Linked DNA regions of Alligator mississippiensis. The protein of the gene in region 1 interacts with the protein of each later gene in a pairwise test. Links are inferred from orthologs where the notes say so. Each region holds a gene or a part of one and is shown on either strand. Other genes may lie near its edges.

Region 1 (10,964 bases):
TTATATCATAATTGTGGTTATCCCTACAATTATGATTGCTTTTATTATGTGTATTTATGAGCTACCTTGGTAGCTGCAGCCCCAGATGGTTGCTGCTGGGTGTATTGAGGTGGGTGCGGTGCCACACCTCTCCCCTTTTTGCTCTAGTTGCATCTGGTTAGCCGAAGAACCACTGAGTAGGACCCCGGCCTCCCTGGTCAGATGGCTTGAGGCTTATCCCAGCCTCCAGGCTTTACTCCAGGCCCTAGGCACCCTGCCCTGGGTCTGTAACTGAAAACACAAAACAATAACAGTAAATAAAAAAGGTCGCACTTATCCTTGTGCTGGGTGCATCTAGCCTCTGGGGTCCATCCTCTAGGCTGTGATCCAAGTGCCTCAGTAGCCCTGTCCTGGGTGCAGGCAGGACACAGAGCATTGGCCCAGTGGGGAGGGCCCACCTAGAGACCACACCAACTACATACAGCCCTACCAGCATTCTGTCTTCCCCTCACTCCAGAGAGTGACCTGCGCAGGCACTCCTAGTTGCTTATAACCCCCTCTCTTGTGGGGGTGGGCCTTTCCACCCTGCCTGGGGGGCTGGGTTTCCAACTGCCTGCAGCTGGGGGAACTCCCCCTGCCAGGGCCATTCACCATGGCTGTGCTCATTGTGCTGGCTTCCAGCTGGCCAGTGCAGCCCCAGCACAGCTGCATCAGTTTCTGAGTTGGGGGGTGGGAAGCCATCCTGGGTCAAAGGTGGCTCAGACACACTCCTCCCCACAGTAATGGAGCTGAGCCCTGTTTTACCCTGAGCCCTGTATTACCGTAGTGCCCAGGAACCCAAGTTATGGACCATGACTCTGCTGTGATTGGTGCTGTTCAGCCACAGACAGCCACAAAGGCTGGATCCAGATGTGCAGGCAAATGCATTTCCCGAGTAACAAAGAGCCGTGGCACAATACATGCTGCTGCTTGTCCCTATGGAGTGACCATGCACACATACTTTGGCATGTGACACATTGCCCTGGGTGGGGTAGGGAAGGCTGGAACCAGCACCTGGGCTGGCCTTTTTTTGACACCAGATCTCCAGGTCTCAACCCCACCCCCTGCTGCAAATTAGCAGTACAGGGAATGTCTGCATGTGCATCACAGAACACAAGGCTGCAGCACCACATACAGCACATTTGCGCTCATCTGGATGCGCTCAGTTTAAGGTGCTAATCTGAAGTTAGTATCCTAAGCTAAAAGTCTGTGCTGTTTGTCATCTTTTTTGTTACTTTATTTCACTAACAGTCTATTTATAAATCCAGATTTTAATAATAAGCAACAAAATTATCCCCTAAAATATCCAACAAGTCGAAGAATAATAATTACTATTACAATGCTATCCTTAAAAACAAATAAAGGAAACAGGTGTAAAGAGCAGACAGACAAACCTTAGGTACTACTGTGTAGGAGGACATGATAGTGGGGCTGGTACTTATGAATGAAGGCTTGTCTATGCATGGGGTTATTCAGAAGCAACAATTACTGAATAATTTCTGTGTGGACTTCTATTCCAGAATAACTGCCTTGATTTTGTTTAGCATAAGGCACTTTCAAATGGCAAAAAGAGATGTCAAGGGTATAGAGGGAGACTTCTCATTTTAGAAAAGAAATGACTGAGGAAGGAAATGACAGAGATTTAACAAAATAAGTGCTGCAGAGAAAGTAGACAGAGATTTATAATTTACTCTCTCTAATACAATCCTAGAACTAGGAGACATAATATGAAAGTACCAAAGAGGTGTGGACAGACATAACACTTAAACTGGTTTAAATGCAGTTTAAAGTGCAAATGTGCAGACCTACAAGCCAGTTTACAGTGGTTTAAACCTCCTGAACCATTTCAAAAGCACTAAATAGCAGTTCTTTTGTTCTTATTTGTATTCTGGAATAACAGTATCAACACACAGGATTGTTTAGAAATAGGTGCTCCTGAATAATTCCATGCATAAATAGGTATTAAGTGTTTAATGTGGAACAAAATTTGGGAAAAACTAAATCACAGATTACTATAATTTATTCATTTCTAATTCAAGGCAAAGAGACATGGAGCAGAGCTTTCTTAATGGCCAGGAAGGTAAGCATTTGAAAGGAGACATGTACGCGGGTCACTCACCCAGGTTCCTAAGACAGGGGAGTCAGCTCTGACTCCAGGGTTTCAAACCAGCTTATTTTACATGGAGGAACCTTGTCTCCACAGTAAAATGAACAAACAGGTGAACAAGCTAGCAAACAAAAAACCTGCTGTCTTCCTTAAGATGTACAACCCTTGCTTTGCACTTCTTCCCAACAACTGAGCCAAGCCCCTTCTTAGGGTTTAACACTCTTTGCAACTCCTCCCTCATTAACTGGTATCAGATCCAACTGTTTCCCAGCCAGGCAGATTATTAGCTGCTGATCCCCTGCAGCTGGATTCTTACCCTTTGAGGAGCCAAACACCTGACAAGACTATATAAAATCAGCATGTATTTGCCACTCAGGCATATCAGAGCAACTTGAATCATGGATTGGGTCTTAAAAACAGGACTTCAAAATGTGTTTTCCCCAAGAAGCGGAAAGATCTCTTTCTCTCTGTCACAGAAAGGAGAAAAAATGTGTGTCACACTGACCAACAACTGTTCAGAAAGGGAAATAGCTTTTGAAGGACTAGGATATTATGTTTCTTTTCTTTGTACTTAAGAGAAGATACTCTTTAGTTTCATTCATTGGAAAAATCAATCAAGACACAAATTATGTAAACAGTATATTTTGTTTCACTACTAGTTTCACTTTATTTTTAATAAATGTTGTTCTTAAGAAAGTTACTGTTGTAGACAGCTTCATAAAGTTTGCTTCAAAAGGCTGCAAAACTATAGACCTCTAAGGAGAAATGGCCTGTGTATACAACAGTGTTTCAAAGCCTTCAGTGGCCCACAGGCCGCTATACTGAGGCAGTGATAAATTGTGGCAATGTCATCATGTATTCCTTTTGTCAATCTCAGTTTTAACTTTTCAATGTCCTATGTCTGCTAACAGTATTGGAGGGATGCATGGATAATAAGAGTTACCTGTGAGCTATGAGTTGGGCATGACTAGTCTGGGTTTACAACTCCAGGTTGTAAACTAAAGGTTTGTACAACTCCACCCACTCTGTGTGCACATACCCAAGATATCAATCAGAGGCAGGCATGAACAGGTGTCCTCTCCAACTGAGGTGTGTTGTCTAGGGCTGCGGTTATGTATACTCAAAGCAGCATCAAGATCAAGAAACAAGATCAGGCTGGAGTGTGTGACAGATAGTCCTAGGACTGGCTTCCAACCTATTAAAAAAAGACATAAGAATGAAAGTATTAATCATAGCACAGGAAGCATTCTTTCCCCATTTACTGAATGGACTGAGCCAGAATTATTGGCATCAACCATCTAATAACTTGCAGCAGGTGGTATCGGCTTGGCTGCCTACTTTGTTCTAACTCAAACAACTTGTAGGGAAGTGACAGTTTCAGGAGAGAACGGTGGCTCTGGTTCAAACACCAACCATCTTTGAGAAGGGGATTATTATTCCCAATATAGAACCAGTTAACCTGGATGACTGTAAAACAGGGAGGGTTTAAAACCTGCCAAAGAAATCTGTCTCAAATAAATACAAGTTCAACTGTCAGCTGTACTGTGCATGTGGCATTGCTGATCCACTTACAGAACTTCCCACATGCCTATTGATTGACCCTCAGTTGGGTGCACTTGGCCAGAATTTTGAGAAACAAATAATTATATACAAAGACAAGACATTTCAGTATTATTGTTCATCTCTTACCTCTCCTGCAGTCCTTTATCTCTATTTATTATCCTGTTTTATATACTTCACACCTAACAACAGGAAGAAAAAATCTGGTATAGCACAGACTCCCCCCAGAGGTGGTGCAAGCACCTACTCTAGATACTTTAAAAAACACTTGGATGCCTATCTTGCTGGGATCATTTGACCCTTGCTGACTTCCTGCCCTTTGGTCAGGGGGCTGGACCTGATGATCTTGCGAGGCCCCTTCCAGCCATGGTGTCTATCCAGCCCTAGTGTCTATAAAATCTATGAACACTAGGCATTTCTGTGCATTAGACTATTCAAGTGGCATATTCTTAGTAAGTACCTTAAGGGTGTCAGGTAACCTTAAGGTTACTTGATAATCAGAGGTTGTTTTTCTTAACAACCTCCCCCCACCCTCTAGCCCATTCTTCTTGCTCCAAAGCTAGTGAACTATTCTGACATTAAATTGTTCTGTAGCACAGAGTCATCTAAAATTAAAAGCCATTTTGTTTGATAAACTCTATGTGAATACATGGAATGACAGAAAACAAAATTCTTTCTTTCCCAGCATGTACTGCTTTGATGCTGCAAAGGGCTTGGTGCAGGTAGATGGATGAGTGCACTCAAGACAAAGATTCATGGACTTGAATGGTTCAGTAGTCCCGCTTTATGAAAAGCTCACTGTATGATCAAGATCTAAGGGCCAGATTTTCAAAAGAGCTCACCACCCAACAGCCAAATGTTGGGAGCTGAGTGCTTTTGAAAACCTAGCCATTTGCATAATAAGTGATATTTCAAGAAGAAAGGGGGAGGGGGGTATGTGCATAAGCATGTGTGCATGCATGCACAGACTTTGAAAATGATTTGTTGCATAAATTCATTTTTAATTAAGTCAAAGCAGTAACAGTACATTTGTACATTTTAGAACTACTGATACTCCAAAAACCAGAACAAAAATCTTATCGAGTCTGAAACTAATTTATCCCTAGAAACTGATAAAGCATTTTGCGTTTTCAGAGTTGCTTCCCCCTGGGTATTTATAATACAGATGAAGAGATCATCCAACACCCAATAAACTAGTTATTATTATCCCTTGTTTATGTATCCTATTGTGAAACCAAGGTAGAGGTTAGGCAACTTTCCTAAGGTCACTTAAGTCTGTGGCAGAGACTTGCTCAAAGGTCATCCATTCTTCCCAGTTGTTTTGTAGCAAGCACACTGTATACACTGCTATACAGAACAGGGAGGAAAGGTAAGATGGCACAGTATAAGGCTAACGTGCGCCTTCTGTCATAGGCTAGCTCAACACCCTGGCAGTTAGATCCTGCATGGAAGATAACCTCCTTTCCTGCTATAACATTGTGAGCACTCACTTCAAGAAATGCATCAGTTTTTAATGGTAGCTGTCATCCACCTATCTCCCTAATGCGAAAGCTCCCACCCTAGCCAACCAAGCACCCCCCCCCCTTCCTTCTTTCTATGCTTCTTCCTCAGCCCCATAGCAGAGCTGGGACCTGGACAGAGAGAGGCACTGAAGCAAAAGGAAAGCTAAGTGAAGGATGCCCCCAGCCCTGACACAAAAGGACTGCAGCAGTGCATGGGCGAACCTGTGAATGCCACTGCTTTTTTATTTGTTTGGTTGGTTGACATTTTGTGTCTCGGGCCAAATCGGTTCTGAATCCTGCGGGCTGAATCGTTCAAGTCTGCGTGACGCGACCGCCCGCAAGTATCCTCCGTACCAACCCCCTGGCAGGCGCCCTACGTGCCAGAGCCCTTGGAGTCCCGGTGCCCCCTGGGCTCAGGTGCCCGTACCCAGAAGGCGGAAGGAGCCAGCCAGAGGGGAAGCCAGACAGCAACCCCCACGGCCGCACAGCCGAGATCCTGGCATTGGGAGGCGCTGGCAGGGGTGCCTACCCGCGCCGAGCCGCTCAAGGCGGAGAAGGCGGGGATCTCCCCTGCCAGGTGAGGGAAACCACCTCCCGCTGCATCCCCCCCCCCGCAGGCGTGTGCGCCGCTACTGCTGCAAGGGGCCCTCACGCAGGCGCAATCGCCCCGGAGCTTTTCCTGTTGTGCAGCAGCGGAGCAGGGAGTGAAAAGCGGCGGCCGGCCCCGCCGCTCGCGACACGCGCCGTCCCCTGCCGCTGCGGCGGCCTGGGCTCGGCCAAGGAGGGGGTCGGGGTGGGACACACCCCACTACAGCCACTGCCTGCTGACTCGGCGTCTGCGGCCCCACACCTCCCTCCTTAGCCCCCGCCCCGCGCTTCCCCGCTGCGGCTCAACCAAGCGCGCAAGGAGCCCGGAGCAGCCCCACCTCCCGCTCCGGCCGCGCGCAGCGGGAACACCTGGGGGGGAGGGGGGGCGCGAGATACCTGACAGTGATTGGCAGCTCTTCCGCAGCCAATGGGTGCGAGGCGGAGAGGCGGGGCGCGGGAGGGTAGGTTGCGCCTCGGCCTGGGCCGCACCGGGGTTGTGTGTGAGCGCAGGGAGTGGGAGGTGCCGAGGGCAGTGGCGGCGACGCTGCACCCGCACCCGGGTTCTTAAATCTCCTTCTTCACCCTCGCCCCCCTGGGTATTGTGTTTTGCACCCGCCCTGTGCAGCCCCCGCGCGGCGCGTGAAGTCAGCCCGCCCGCCCGGAGCAGGGGGCGGAGGCAGCGCAGGGAGCCCCGCCAGCCCAGCCCAGCCCAGCTCCGCCAGCAGCGGCAGCAGGCGAGCGGCCGCAACTTTCCCCGCCGCCCCGCGCCGGAGACGCCGAGGGCTCCTTGCTGCGGCAGCCGCTGCCGCCCCGCCCCGCACCGCTCGGCGAGGGAGGCCCCGCGCCCCTCGCGCCGCGCCCGCCGGAGATGTCTGAGCACAAGGCGATTGACCCCAAGTTATCCACGACGGACCGGGTGGTGAAAGGTGAGCGCCGCCGCCGCCGCCGCGCTCCTTCCGCATCCTCCGCTGGCCTCCCGCGCCGGGGCCGCTGACAGGAGCGGGGCGAGTCCGGGGGATCCCGGCCCTGGGCTGGCGGGGGGCCTGCTCCACTGCAGCATCGCCCGCCCCCCAAGTGACTGCACGCCCGGCACTCGCCCTCCCCCACTCCCTCCCCCACGCAGCCCGCCGGCCCCCGGCTGCTCCCGCTCCTCGCCCGCGCGAGCTATCTGCCCGCAGAGGCCCCAATCCCGGCTGGCGGCGCTGGCGCTCGTGGGCTGCGGGGGCGTTGCGCTCCGGCTGGCGGGGGGAGGCGGGAGGCACCCGCGAGCGATCCTGCGTGGTCGGCTTCTCCCCTTGGGGGAGGGGGGAGGCGCCACGGCTCTCGGGGGGTGGGGGGGAGCCTCGCCCGCCTCCCGGCCAGCGCTGGTGCAGGGGCGAGGGACCCGCGCAGCGGCCGCCCAGGCAGGAGCCGCATGAATTTCCGTGCGGGGGTGGATGCGGGGAGGGAGGGGGCACGGCTGGAGAAGATGGCATATTTCTCCAAGATAAGCCTCTTGGTGCTTGGGAGATGGAAATACGGATATATGCTGCTGCCTGTTGGCACAGCAAAAGGCAATAAAAAACCCCCCAAAAACAATCCCTCCCCCCACCCACCCCATCCCCGTTTGTTTTTTTCTTTTTTCTTCCTTTCTGATTTGGCTCGGCTGGATGTGAAGTTATCCAGCAGACATGCTCCGGCCACACATCCATGTATGTGCGCGCGCGCAATCCTGGTGTCTGGGTGTTCCCCGCAAACGTGCCTCCTTCTCTCTGGTTTTTATCTTCTTTCGAAGCGAACCGTAGGGTGAGCTGGACAGCTCGTAGGTCATTCAGGTCTTGAAAGCCACCCTTTGGGTTTGAGTAGCCAGACCGTGCACTGCCATAAAGAATTGATCCTCTTAGGGAAAGGTCATGTGTGATTAAATCCCATGCACCGGCTGCTTTAATATATGCACGGTGCATATATTTCCTCTGTGTTCTATATATTGTTTAGCATGCATAGGTACAGTACATCATACTTAGTTTAGGAGATAAGTCTGCATCTGTATCTAGGTTTTCAGGTGAAAATGCAAATCCCTCAGTGTTTAAGTCCAGGAGATTTAGAGGGGATTGTCTGTGTTACGTAGAGTCTTGCGAGCATAGACTAAAACCAAACACCAAACAAATAACAAATTTGATATTTTAATGTTTTCTGTGCATTCTCTTTAATTCCTAATGGAATTTCGGATCTGGGGAGGCTTTAGGAAAATTAGTTGCCTGCACCATAGTAGCATTAAAAACAGTTTCAATGTGCCCTGTCTTGTGAAACCCGAAATATTTATGGCATGGTTGAGAGGATGATACATTGTATTAGTGTCCTAAGACACGCTAAGACTAAGCTTTAAAGGTGGGTTATGTGGTTGTCCTTGGCTGATGCGTTATCTAAAGACATGGGCATCACAGACACTTCTTATATCTTGATGTAACCATTTAGCAAATACTGTCACGTAAGAATTAGACAAAGATTTCTTAAATTTTGTGTCTAATTTGGTAAACATGGGACCAAATCTTATGGTCTTTCCGCAAGAAAAAAATTGATTTTCTTGGGTGTGCTACTGGAGTAAGAACTACTATGACATTGATATTTTTTTTTTTTAATTAAAAACAAAGCAAATAAATATCACTGTTCTGAATGCAGGTACATATAAAATTGCACCCACAGTGAACTGAGTTATTGTCTCTAATGATTCAGATGTTTACAGGTTAGAATCAGAAACTTGCCAGCAAGAGAAATCTATGACTTTTGGCAGTAATGGCTCTTCATTTTTTTTTAAATACTTCCATTCAAGTAAATACATAGGTTCCAAACTTTCCAGAAAGATTATTTTAAAAAAATATGAACACACACACACACACACACACACACACACACACACACACACACACACACACACACACACAAATTATAATTTTGTGGATTTTATACACTCAGTGAACAGTCTGTCCACCAAACATTTAACTCTGTTCTTTTTATAAAGTATTCATTAAAAGAAGGAAGACTACTTAACAAAAGTTTCTTAGGTATTTATTAATTTATCTGACTATAGTTATTACATGTCAACATTTTAAAGAGTATTTGGATGCATTTAACTAGTTCATTGTTTTTATTAAACATGAAATCCTGTTAAATGCTTAAATAGAGAATCTGGAGCGGTAATACACAAGAAACTCATTGTTAATAGGATTATTCTTACACTGTCATATTTCAATGAAGGCAACTTAAAATAAATGTTGTTTTTTTTCACTGTTTAGAAACATAAATGAAGAAAAAGAAATTAAGGCAGCTTTGCTTGACTTGTAAAAGCAAATTGCCTAAGACTCCTATCCTTCATCTAGAGCTGCAGAATCCCAGGTCTTGTGTTACAACTTTGACTATTAAATGGTCTTTTCCATAGTATTTACTTCTTGGTCCGTGGGCCAGATCTGGCATGTAGAATGATGTCATCTGGCCCATGGGGCTCCTATGGGTCTTGATATTTGGCGTGGGAGTGCGGTGGCCCCGTCTGGACTAGCCCTATGTGGAGGGACGAGGCCCTAGCCAGGTGAGTCCCATGCAGCCAGATGGTACCCTCTCTGGGCTGTTCTCACACAGCTGGATCAGAGCTGGCCCCACATGGCTAGAACAGGTCCTGGCCCAGGCCGGCCTCATGCAGATGGATTGGGCCCTGTCTGGGCTGTTCCCCCCATGGTTGGATTAAGCACCCCATTGGCCAGGGATTGACCACCACCAGGACCAGCTGCTGGATCGGGCCCAGAGACCAGATCTGGCCCACAGACTGACTTGCCACCATGCATCTGGTCCACAGGGTGAAAAGGTTGGGCACCACTTGTCTTTTTCATAGATCATCAATCATCTATATCTTCTTGAAATGAACAGCTAAATAGCCCCAGAAATAGTAACAGAAATCTTTGCATTTTATTACTAAACACAGATGTAGATAATCAGCACTCCTTGGTATTTGACAAAAAACCTCTTAAACTTGTTTACTAGTATAAAGTGAGATATTTCTGAAGATTTAAAAAAAAAAAAAGTCATAAGCAATTTTTATCTGGGGAAGAAGTATTTTTAGCTCATGCATGTAGGTTTTATATTTCATTATTTCATATAGCTGCACAAAGAATAGTTACTTTATCAATCCGGCTCTTAAAATTTATTGACTGTGAAGCTAGTTAAATGTTTTAGTTTTCAAAGATCGCAATTAGATAACACACGACAAGAGATGTCCTATTATAACAAGCATGTCAGGCGTTCTGTGTAAATCCTAGGTAGGCACTGTTACATAACTCTTAGTGGTGGACTTGATGAGGTGAGAATTCTAGCAGTATCACACAGATTGGCCTATTATGGACACCTGTTGGAAAGGTTGTTGGTTTTTGTTTTTGTTTTTAATTATATATTGTTGATTTTAAACACTCTGCTAGGGAGTTATTGGAAGGTGAAAAAGGACTTCAGTTACTTCATGTTCTGCCAGTTGTATGGTGTTTTCAAGACTGTATTCAATTGATTTGATTATATGGCATTTATGCACAATGGTACCCGAGCAGCAGATTTGTTTTCAAGACTTAATAAAATGTTAATTTTTGTGAACTCTGGGAAAAGAGAATCCCATATATTGGTCTGAAGAGTGATATTGTACTTGTCTAGTGAAGCAGTGTTTTTTCCATTTACCTAAATTTCTCTTTAAATAGAAACCTTCTGATGCAGGGGGGATAAGAACTGCTTACAACTATTGGACTGCTTGTTTTCAGCTATTGGTGTTCACAGCATATAAAAATGTGACTTTTAAATGTGCTTGATTTTGCAAGTGCATGTGGCTAATTCCATTGACATAAGTAGGATTATTTGTATGTCTGAAGCCATGTGCCTAATTAAATGTATTGTGGACTGAGAGGCAAGTGAATTTAGTGCTGGAGGAACGGTGCTAGCTTGCCAAATTTGTGCGGAAAAATCCTTCATGTTACCAGAAAAAGGTACAACACACATGCTGGCTAGGCCATGGTCTCCACATGGGTCTGCTCCTAAGATTTTCCCCTCCATAAGAGATGCTAATTTGTTACTTAAATGTCCCACCAGTGGAACTGGTGTTATGGTAGTTCTTAGGTTGGAGATACCTGTCCAGTAGAAGCTGGGCTGAGAGTACGAGCTCATTCCACATAGGGCACAGAACA
Region 2 (9,972 bases), about 130 Mb from region 1:
CTCAAAAAAATGAGTTCAGTAAGGGAAAACTGACCCAACAAAAATAACTTGCCCTCTCCACGTTCCCTACAGCAGCATTTTAAGGCCTGGTCCCAAAAGGCATTCTGTACCATATGAGGTCAGCCACTTATTCTTGGACCCGTTTTACATACACACAGCAATGTAACTGGCATGCAGAATTAAACGATATATGCTTAGACCTAAAATAGCTAAGGAGTCAGGACTATTTCTGGCTTTTCATCTTGAGAGTAAAGGTACTTTTTAATTTAAATCGCTTCTCTCTCTTTTTTGGGCATTCTTGTCATCAGAGAAAACTGTTCTGTTTATTATGTTCCAAAGCCATTTCATTAACCAGCTGTTCGATGGATGACTGAATAGCTGCTTTTACAAGTGAAGACGCGGTTTCTATCAGAAGCAATTCATACTGCTCTGAAGTTCTTTGCCCCTGATCACTGAGACCTTTGGGTGAGAGAGCATGGGAACTGTTTTTATCCTCCCTCCAGTGGCCGCTGCCTGCCACTGAGCCCTGTTGGCAATCTGAAAAGCTACTGAAATCAAAGTTCCCACTTTTCTTATTCCCTTTGGGTTTTGTATGACGTGGGATCAAGGGCAGCTTGCAGATATAGCTGGGCTCCACTTCATTGCAATCGTCTGCATCTGTAACCGTAATCACAATGCCCACCCCATCAACATCCTTACTTTCTTCTAATTTAAATTGTTCGTTTGAACAGCTCTGTACATTTGCTGCCTCATCTCTAAATGCTGACTGACTGGAACCCATTATCGTCTCTTTGGATTTACAGTCCTCACTAACGCTTATGCTGCTTCCAAACTCATCCAGTCCAGGCTGCTTCTCAGGCATGGCGTTTCTACCTTGTACCTCGGTGACTCTAGGTACATGCTCTGGTAGGTCCTCAGGCGGCTCAGCACCAAACGCAGTGTTGCCATCATCCTGCTTGGTTACTGTATGCACTGCTGTTTCTGGTTGGCTCCTCGGACACTGTTTTTCCTGGACTATTACAGCAACTGTCTCTAAATTCATTGTTTCTGACTGGACAGGACATGCTGTGTGTTGATCGGTGTCTGGCCCGGGTTCTCGCAAAAGCTCGTTCTCCCCAGCAGAACTGTCACTTTTTTCAGCCGTACTGTCACTGTCTTTCTTTGCAGCAGACTGGCCAAAGGATCGATCAGGGCTAGATTTAACTGCAGTTGCCAAATCCTCGGGTTCACTGGTAGCTTTATTCAAAATGCCCATTGCTTCATTTCCCTTAATACTGTCGTCCGATTCCTCTATCATTTCACACTGGCTGGGTTTTCTCTTGCCACCTGAAAATCTTATGCATGGTATTTTCAGACCAGAACGAACCTCTTTCTTGGGCAAACTCTGCAAGCCAGCCTCCTCTGTACTGGTCTCCAGCTGGACTTGAGAGTCGGAAGGTACGTGTTTCCTGGAAGAAGACTTTAACTTTCTCCTTGGTCTCACAAAACATTTTATAGCTGCCCAGGCTCCTTTTGGTGACTGAGATGGATTTGAAGCTTTCCCTTCTCTGTGGTCCGCACTGCACTGGCTGGTTTGATTCAAGTTTGCAGACTCTTCTTCGCAGGTACCCTTCACGTCTGAAGCCTTCTTGCCTGACTTTTTTCTTTTCTTAAAACAAAACATGGAGGGTTTTTCTGCCTCTTCTTCAGCTGGACGGCACAGTTTTGCTGCACTCTGCATTTCTGACTCTGCTGTGTTTTCCGTTTGAATATCCTTAGCTGCCTTCTCCATACTTGTAGCCCCTTTTTCTTATTTTTTACACAATAATTTTTCTCTATTAGCCCTTCAGATGAATGAACTTCAAAGAAGCTCAAAGGATGTTTCTTAGAAGTTATTTCTAAAGAACATTTAATTGCTTTAATTTACTGATAGGACACTATACAAAGGGATGTTTTGATGGGGTCCACATGTTAGTTTTCTATTTTCATTTGGTTTTATTACTTGCTTTCTTATCCTTCCTCAGAAAGACTTAATATTTACATTTTAAGAACATGCTTTCCTTTCTTTAACTGACCAGACTCAGCCTCCCCTTTAGGATAATCAACCTGCAACACTACTCGATGTGGTGCTGGTATTATTTGATCAATAATCCAATGGTTTGATTTTCAATTCTTGATCTAACATCCATTAAACATTTTCTATTGATGACAGGCAACAGAAAACAACTTCCACTTTCTAATACATTCACGAGAACACTGTCTGAAGTGATAGTAAAACAAAATACAGCAAGTGGCCTTATTTTGTCTCCAATGAGAAGGTCAGCTGTTATTCTGTCTTTTCTCATTTAGGTTTTACTTCAGTTCATGTGACAAGTTATGCCACGCATGCGGAAAAGTATGGCGTAGTCTTTCATCTTTCCGAGTGCTACATGGGCGTCTGCAACAAAGCAAAGCGATGAAAAACATTTAGGTGCTAAGAATGAAAATACATATTTTTTTCAGATTTGTGCATTTTGCTTCTAAAATCCCGTGTGCATCCCGATCCATGGGGGTGGGCAGCAGGGTTAGGCTGTAAGTCTATCCTCAGGCGGACAACTGCAACTCTTCTTGGAATCAGCATCTGAAGGCAAAATAAGGTCACTAACGTGCCACATTAGATACATTAAAGCATAAGATATGAATTTTATATAGAATGAAGGGGAATTTACTTTTCCCCCACATCATCAGAGAAAATACCTTTCTTTTCCATTTTCCAATGATTTCCTAAACATTTTCTACATCTCCCCTACATGAGCTCACAATTCCCTCAAGGGAAATTATAAGCTTGAGACATCTTATATTTTTATCCTTCATGCACAGGATGATGATGTGCAGCGATATGAAATATAAAAAGGAGGCTTGCGAAATCCAAACATAACCCAAACTGTATGAGGCACTCATTTATAGTGCTTGCATGTCTTCCATGGCAACCTTACTCACACAGTGCATGCATTCATCATAAAATGCATGTAATCTTTTTAAAGAAATGCTGCCATCACCAGAACATTATGAACAAACAAATGTATCTAACAGGGAAAGGACACATTTTTGTACATGGGATACTCCCTTACTGGATACTTTGAGAAGTGCTTGAGGAATATTTTCTTTTACGTACGTCTTGAATTCCTTTTAAAAATGCACATATTCTTAGTAGTTTTAAAAAGCTAAATTGAATTGTTATATTCAGCAGTCATATAGTGTTATCCAGAGTGGCTGCAGGAATGTGATCTACTCTGAAGTGATATTTTATTATGAATATTTTTTTTGATAATTAATGTCACGATTTGCTTGCTAAAACTTGACTCAAAGCTCTGTGCTCTGGAGTCCGTACCTATGATAAAATACATGAAATCTGTAACAGAGTGAGAACCTAGCTTAAAAAAATAGATTTAGGAAAGTGTTTCATCATAATCATCATCATTTTTTCCTTTCTTTTGGCATTACTGTGCCTCTGATTGGAAAGATAAAGAGAAGAAAAATCCTAGAGAATGTATAAGATTAGGCGTCTTCTCAGTCTCTTTTTCTTTTCATTTATTTATTGTTCTTTTCTTTTATAACACCAACACACTCTGGGATCACTCCGATACACCCTTCACCTCATGCTAACAACACCACCCCCAATTAAACAGCACAAAAAATCACATCTGGATGCCCTGACCTCTTGCGTGCTCCTCTGCGTGTGTGGCCATTCATCCCTTGAACGTCAGGCGAGCGGGTGCTGACTACCGGCCGTCTTCAGGCCAGTGGCGTCTGGAACTGCAGGGAAGGAGAAGGACAAGGTGCTCGGTGCACGGCTAGCTCTGGGCTTGACCCCATACACCCTTTTCTAGATGAATCATAGAAAATGAGGGTCGGAAGGGACCTCAGGAGGTCGCATCTAGTCCAACCCCCTGCTCAAAGCAGGACCATCCCCAACTACGTCATCCCGCCCAGGGCTGTGTCCAGCCGAGTCTTAAAAACCTCCAAGAACCGAGCTTCCATCACCTGTCTGAGCAACCTGTCCCAGTGTTTCACCACCCTCCACGTGAGAAAGTTTTTCCTAATATCCAACCTAACCTGCCCTTGCTGCAACTTGAACCCATCGCTCCTCGTTCTGTCTGTCACCCCTGAGAACAGCCCAGCTCCCTCCTCTGCGCAGCCCCCCTGCAGCTTCGATTAAATCCCCCCGGCTTTCTCCTCTCCGGACTAAATCAGCCCAGTTCCTCCAGCCTCTCCTTTATCAGTCCGTCCCCCAGCATTTTCCTCGCCCTCCACTGCACTCTCTCCAACTTGTCCACATCCTTTCTGTATGGGGGGTGCAAAACTGGACCCCAGATGCGGCCTGCCAGTGCAGAAGAGAGGCAGCTCACTCCCCTCCTCCTCCTCCTCCTCCCGGCGAGGATGCCCGGAGCCTGCTTGGCAACAGGGCAGGCGCGCCCTTGCCTCCGCCGGGCAGCGCCTCGCCTCGCCTCGCCCCCGCAGGGCGCACTTCGTGCCTTTGGGCCCCGATCCCCCCGGGTCCGTGCAGAGCGCGGGGCACGGGGAGGATGTCGGATTTCCAGGCAGGGCTGGAGGCTCGCGGGGCCGAGGGAGGGGGACGTTTCCCAGGCTCGGGGGCCCGCACCCACCTTGGCTCCGGCTCCGGCTCCGCGGCAGGTGCGGGTGATGCTGCGCGGCGGGCGCGCCCGCTCCGCTCCGCCCCGCCTCCCCCGGCCCCGGGGTGGGTGGTCCGGGCTCGGCTCCTCCCCGCGCCCCGCGGCGGGAGCCGCCCTGCCCCTGCCCGGCCACGTGCGGGCACGTCTGTGCGCCCCGCGCGCTGCAGCGCTTCAGCACGGCGGGCGGGCGGGGGCTTGGCTTCAACCCGGGGGGACACGGTCCCTGGCCCTCGGGGATGCAGCGGCCCCGGGGCTGTGGCAGCGCTGCCGCGAGCCCCGAGCCCCAGGCTGCTCCCGCCACAGCAAGCTGCAGTTGTCACTTGGAGATGTGCTAAAAGGCAGGGCTGTTTGCGGATGACAAAAGCACCCCAGGGAGGGAGAGGCTGCTCTCCTTTTCCTATCGGGAGCTGGCAGGTTTTCTGCCTCGGGAATTTTGCACCAGACGCTCTCCTGCCAGGAGAGCCATTTCCATTTTGCAAAGGTTTCAGCTAAAAAAAAATCCAGTTTTTCTATTTTTATAGAAAATGCCCTTATAGGTGAGAAAGACGCACCCTGGCCGGGTCTCGGGTTGAGCTAGTAGTTCCCAGAACAACGCGCTAGCACGGTTTTTTTCTTCATGCTACCCTCTTACACCTAGCTGGGGTCATCTAGACCCAGCACTCTTTCCTGCCTGTGCGAGGGGTCGGACTCGATGATCTATTGAGGTCCCTTCCGACCCTGGCATCTATGAATCTACACCCCGGCCTCTACGCTTCAGTTAAAACAAAAGTTTCAAGGTGCCGATAACTGAGATAAACAGGAAAACATGCCAAGTGTAGCATCCAGAGGGACCTGAACTTCCCCATTCACTAACAAGAACTCACAATTTACTGCCTCTTAGCACCTGCAAATGGAGGGAGCAGTGTACATACAATATGTTGAACATCTGCACAAGGGAGCGCTGTGCATGAAGCTCAGAGCACCATCTTCCCCCTGCCCTTCCCAGTCTGCCTTCAGCCGCTACAGGCAAGCACCGAACCGTACCCAGTCCAGAGTGCAGACCGGCACAAGGGAGATCTACGTGAAGCAAGCACAAAGAAAGTACTTACCCTTTAGGCATTTTTTTTGGAAATGCACGTACTTTTGCAGCCAGTATTTTCTCCCGTACAGAAATATATGGCATATTTAACTTAGCAGTGTCATCCTATTGCTCCCTTTCTTAAAAGGTGTGTTACTTAGCTATATAGCTGTGCTCACTGGGCATACGACTTGGACGTTATACAGGTGGTGCAAGCCAACCAGTAACAAAGTCCTGGAGCGTGTTAGGGGCATGTCCACCAAAGTGTCAGCTATGACGGCTTGGACACAAAGCTCAGATGGATGACAACCTTGTAGATGAGGAACTTGAAGGATGGGAAGAGAAAGCATGGTTGCCTACAAAAGTGCTTCACGGACTGCATAAAGGTTCACTTCACTGAGTGCAACCCATTGACTAGCTCCTTTGAGCTCTTGGCTGTAATAAGCAATGAAGTGCCACAGTAAGGGAAGACATAAGCCTGTTTAAACACGGAGGGCATGCTCTTAAGCAGGAACAGCACACAAGCCAAAGGCTGCGTTCACAACAGCAGCAACGGCAGCCCGGCTCACACTGGGTGGCACTGAATTTTGTGACAAAAAGGAATTTGCGGTGCATAAGCTGGCAGTTACCTGTGCAAATGCCAGGTGGCCTGACTGGCACCAACATCCTTCATTATGATGGATGCATAACAACACTGATGGTAACTCTTATGACAGATGTGTTTCTGCCAACTTTTCCTTATCCAGCGACGACCCATGCCTCTCCTAGGTGAGTTGTTCCTATCAGGAGCTACAAAGAATAGAAGATCATGATGAAGCTTGTCAGGGCGTAGGCAGTTTTTCCCTCTACCTTAAAAGGCAAAGACAAGGAAGCTAACAAACAGCATCAAGTCAAACACATGTGCCAGCATCATGCGACTAGCATCATATCTGATCACATTTGACTCCTTAGACCAAGTGGTAAAATATCTATTCGCAGTTGAATCAGGTGGGGGCAGATTAGCATGAGACTGGAGTTGCAGCAAGATGCCTTAACCACACTGCCAAAAAGAGAATGTGAATCACAAATTCAAGTACTTCACCTCAAGGTGGATGATACAGATTTAGGTCCCTCATTACATCAGCTTAAATACCTTGCATTTGGAACACAGTTGGGTAGATAAATTGCTCAGAACTCAGCTTTTATGGAGTTTCAGAATAAGCTGATCATGCAGAAGAATTATCTGACAGAGGTGCTAAGGCTATGCGAATAGGCAGGGATTCCAGCTAGACCGAGGACAAGCTTTTTTGCTTGAAAGCAGATTTTTGAGATACAATGCTTGCGTTCTTCTAATATTTGTCTTACTCCGGCAGCGAATGTGGCATGGGCAACATGGGAAGAGGCACATATAGCGTGTACTCTCCCTATCTTAATGCCCACGGCTGGCCCCAAACCAGCAGAATTAGGTTAACATCCCACATTATGTCACGGATGGAACTTAGCAGAAATGCCACCATCTTGGGTAACCATGGGGATGTTCTTTCCATGACACACACAGTTTTCCAGGTCTGTAAAGGCACAAGGAAGTCTTACATCATTTGGATTTGATCGCTCTAGACAAAAGCAGAAGGAATGGAGGGGGGCAGGGAGGGAGACTTGAAGATTTATCCAGTATGTAAAGTGTTCATGGATCCATAGATTGTTAGGGGCTGGAAGGGACCTCGCAAGATCATTGTGTCCAGCCTCACAGCACTAGGCAGGAAAGACAACTGGGGTCAGGTTTATAAAAAAAAAAACAAAACAGCAATTAGTGAATGCCCACTGAAGTTCAGAAAAGAGGCAATTAGCTTGTTTTGTGCAAAAAAAAAATTATGATATCCATAAAATTGAACTCTAAGGATGGTTAAGCCCTGGAACAGGCAGTCAAGAAAGAATGGGAAAAGCCCATCTGTGGAGGTTTTTATAAAACAGGTTAGATGAGCATCTTTCAGGGAGGGTCTGGGTATAATTACCTGCCTCAGAGCAGGAAGATGGATTAGATGACCTTGTGAGGTCCCCTTCAGCCCTGTATTTCTATGATTAATCACTGGATTAACGAGATGTCAACTGAAATAGTCCTTGCAGAAAGGGAGAGGACAAGCTGCTTTCTAATGTTTAAGAGCGTCATATTAAAGAACGTGAAAAGGTGACCAGGAAAGAAAAAAGGCAGGTTGAAGGAATGAGATGGGCTGTTCGGAAGAGGGGGATGCAGCAGGAAAAGCAACAACGAGACGAGAGAGGAAGATTGAATGAAGAAACTGGCACCTGCAGGCTGGCCAGCTTGCCTCCAAGAAGCAGCCAGCACAGGATGCCTTAGTTGAAGGAGCTCCTCATGTACCTAGCTATGCACTACACATGGGGAAAAGCAATTCCTGACCCCATGCCAACAGTCCGTTCAGACCCTGAAAATCTGATTGCAAATACCTGCTTTGCTTTGAATATTATATAAAAGAAAATTTTAAACAAGCCTAAAAATGCCTTTTAGGAATCTTATGACAACTTAAGTTATTGTAACTTCACTCCTGTGACAGCCCCGTAATTGTTACATAATTATTCTGATAGCTTGCTATATATAGTGTGCATGTATTACAGCTGAGCCCATATGCTGATGCACACTCCTACATCAATGCTTCTCCCAGTCACTGCAATTCTTTAATATGTTCTTAGGCTCAGATACAAGCAATGGGCCTTGCAGTCTGATGTGGAAAGGATTATTCATAGATATTTAGCTGCTTGCATGGGTAAGATTTTCTCTTCAATTGCTGGATTAGCAGAACTGGTGGTTTCACTTCAGATCTCTTGCAGTCAATGGTAAGCATATCAAAATCCACTGAATAAAATTTAGGCAGTTTATTTTCCTACACATGACATGCAGTATCCAGGAAGGGATGTGAGATTAAACCTAAATATACTGGTGCACTGGAGGCTCAACAGTATTACTGCAATAATCACTTTTACCTGTCAATACTGGAAACTGCTGCTGTGTACAATCCCCAAACTGACCATAAAAATAAAGTTCAGCTTCATTAAACGCAATGCATATATTAAAGCCCAGGGTACTCTGAAAGGATTTAGCCATTCATTTGTATTAATTACAAGTCTGGCAACAACTTAGTTTTCCCATTATGAGAATTTTTTTGGACTACTCTGACAAACCCCACTGCAAACAATTTGACTCAGTGCTTGTGCTGTCTCTGTTCACCCAAAAAAAAGATATTTCAAGAAGCAAGGGTTAGAAACAGTGTAAGAAAACTCATCCATCTAAGTCAGAAAACCATGTATGGCATATTCTCTTCTTCAGCCACAGCCACTGAATGGAGAGCCAGTCTGCAAAAAGGTGATGTCCTGTGTTTTGTGCACAGCACAATATATAAATGGCACAGATGCTGATCACAGCAGGGATTTCTAATCGGGAGATCTGATATGGTTTACGTGTTGATAAGGACAAAATACACCAGAAACCAAAAGCTTTTGGGAAGTGGAGAAACGAAGGAATTCTTCTTCGCTACGTACCTGTGACTGATACTGGTGCAGTCTCATGTTACAACATCCTCTCCTTGAATGCTAGCAGTGGATTCGAGAATTGAGTAGGTAGAAAGACTGTCCAGCCTTTAAAGGACAATGTCTACCCATGGTCTAAAAATATACTGAAAACAACTTAAGCCCCAGGCTGTCGCAAACATTGGACAAGTCAGGAAACTCCATTTTTATGTTTTAATATATTAAAATCATCTTATTAAGATCAGTGATAGAAAGGGAGGGTTAAAACCAGGTGGTTTGGCTACAAGTATGAAGCAAAATGTTCGTATTCAATAAGGAAATATTTAAAAATATCAGTGTGTAAAACTTACTGCAGGTTCTTCACTGAACTAAAAGATTAGCTTGGAATAAGACTTTAAAAAAATTACTGCAAATTTTAACAAACATATATATTCCAGTCATTCCCAAATGCTTCTTATCCCATTCACTTCACATCTTGCATCCTCAGTCGTATCTTATTTTGGCTTAAGTCAGGGCACAGTTCAGTTTACATTACTCATCAGGTAGTCTTCGGGTAGCTAGGAAGAAAAATAAATCTAATTACTAAATTATAGTACTGCAGGAAACTTTTAGTCTGAATTATAATCAAATAAAAACATGTAGCCTTATGCTCAGATGAGTGTAACTACATTAGCTCAGGCTTTAAAAATAAAACTCAAACATTTGCAAACTAGCCTAAGGAAGACATTTACCTCTGGTTGGCAA

What was found. The genes of interacting proteins can lie anywhere in the genome.
Region 2: the proteins of PPP3CA (region 1) and AKAP5 interact in binary tests that used the Homo sapiens proteins (3 or more experiments, as listed by UniProt). The link is inferred for Alligator mississippiensis from reciprocal best matches to the Homo sapiens genes PPP3CA and AKAP5.

The regions. Positions count from the first base shown.
Region 1 is NC_081825.1:162,268,371-162,279,334, reverse strand, and holds the start of PPP3CA (protein phosphatase 3 catalytic subunit alpha), read left to right. Parts: upstream 1-6,551; 5' UTR 6,552-6,643; coding exon 6,644-6,701; intron 6,702-10,964. UniProt on the Homo sapiens protein: Calcium-dependent, calmodulin-stimulated protein phosphatase which plays an essential role in the transduction of intracellular Ca(2+)-mediated signals. Many of the substrates contain a PxIxIT motif and/or a LxVP motif.
Region 2 is NC_081825.1:291,386,870-291,396,841, forward strand, and holds the start of AKAP5 (A-kinase anchor protein 5), read right to left. Parts: upstream 4,775-9,972; 5' UTR 4,626-4,774; intron 3,775-4,625; 5' UTR 3,677-3,774; intron 2,600-3,676; 5' UTR 1,772-2,599; coding exon 305-1,771; 3' UTR 1-304. UniProt on the Homo sapiens protein: Multivalent scaffold protein that anchors the cAMP-dependent protein kinase/PKA to cytoskeletal and/or organelle-associated proteins, targeting the signal carried by cAMP to specific intracellular effectors.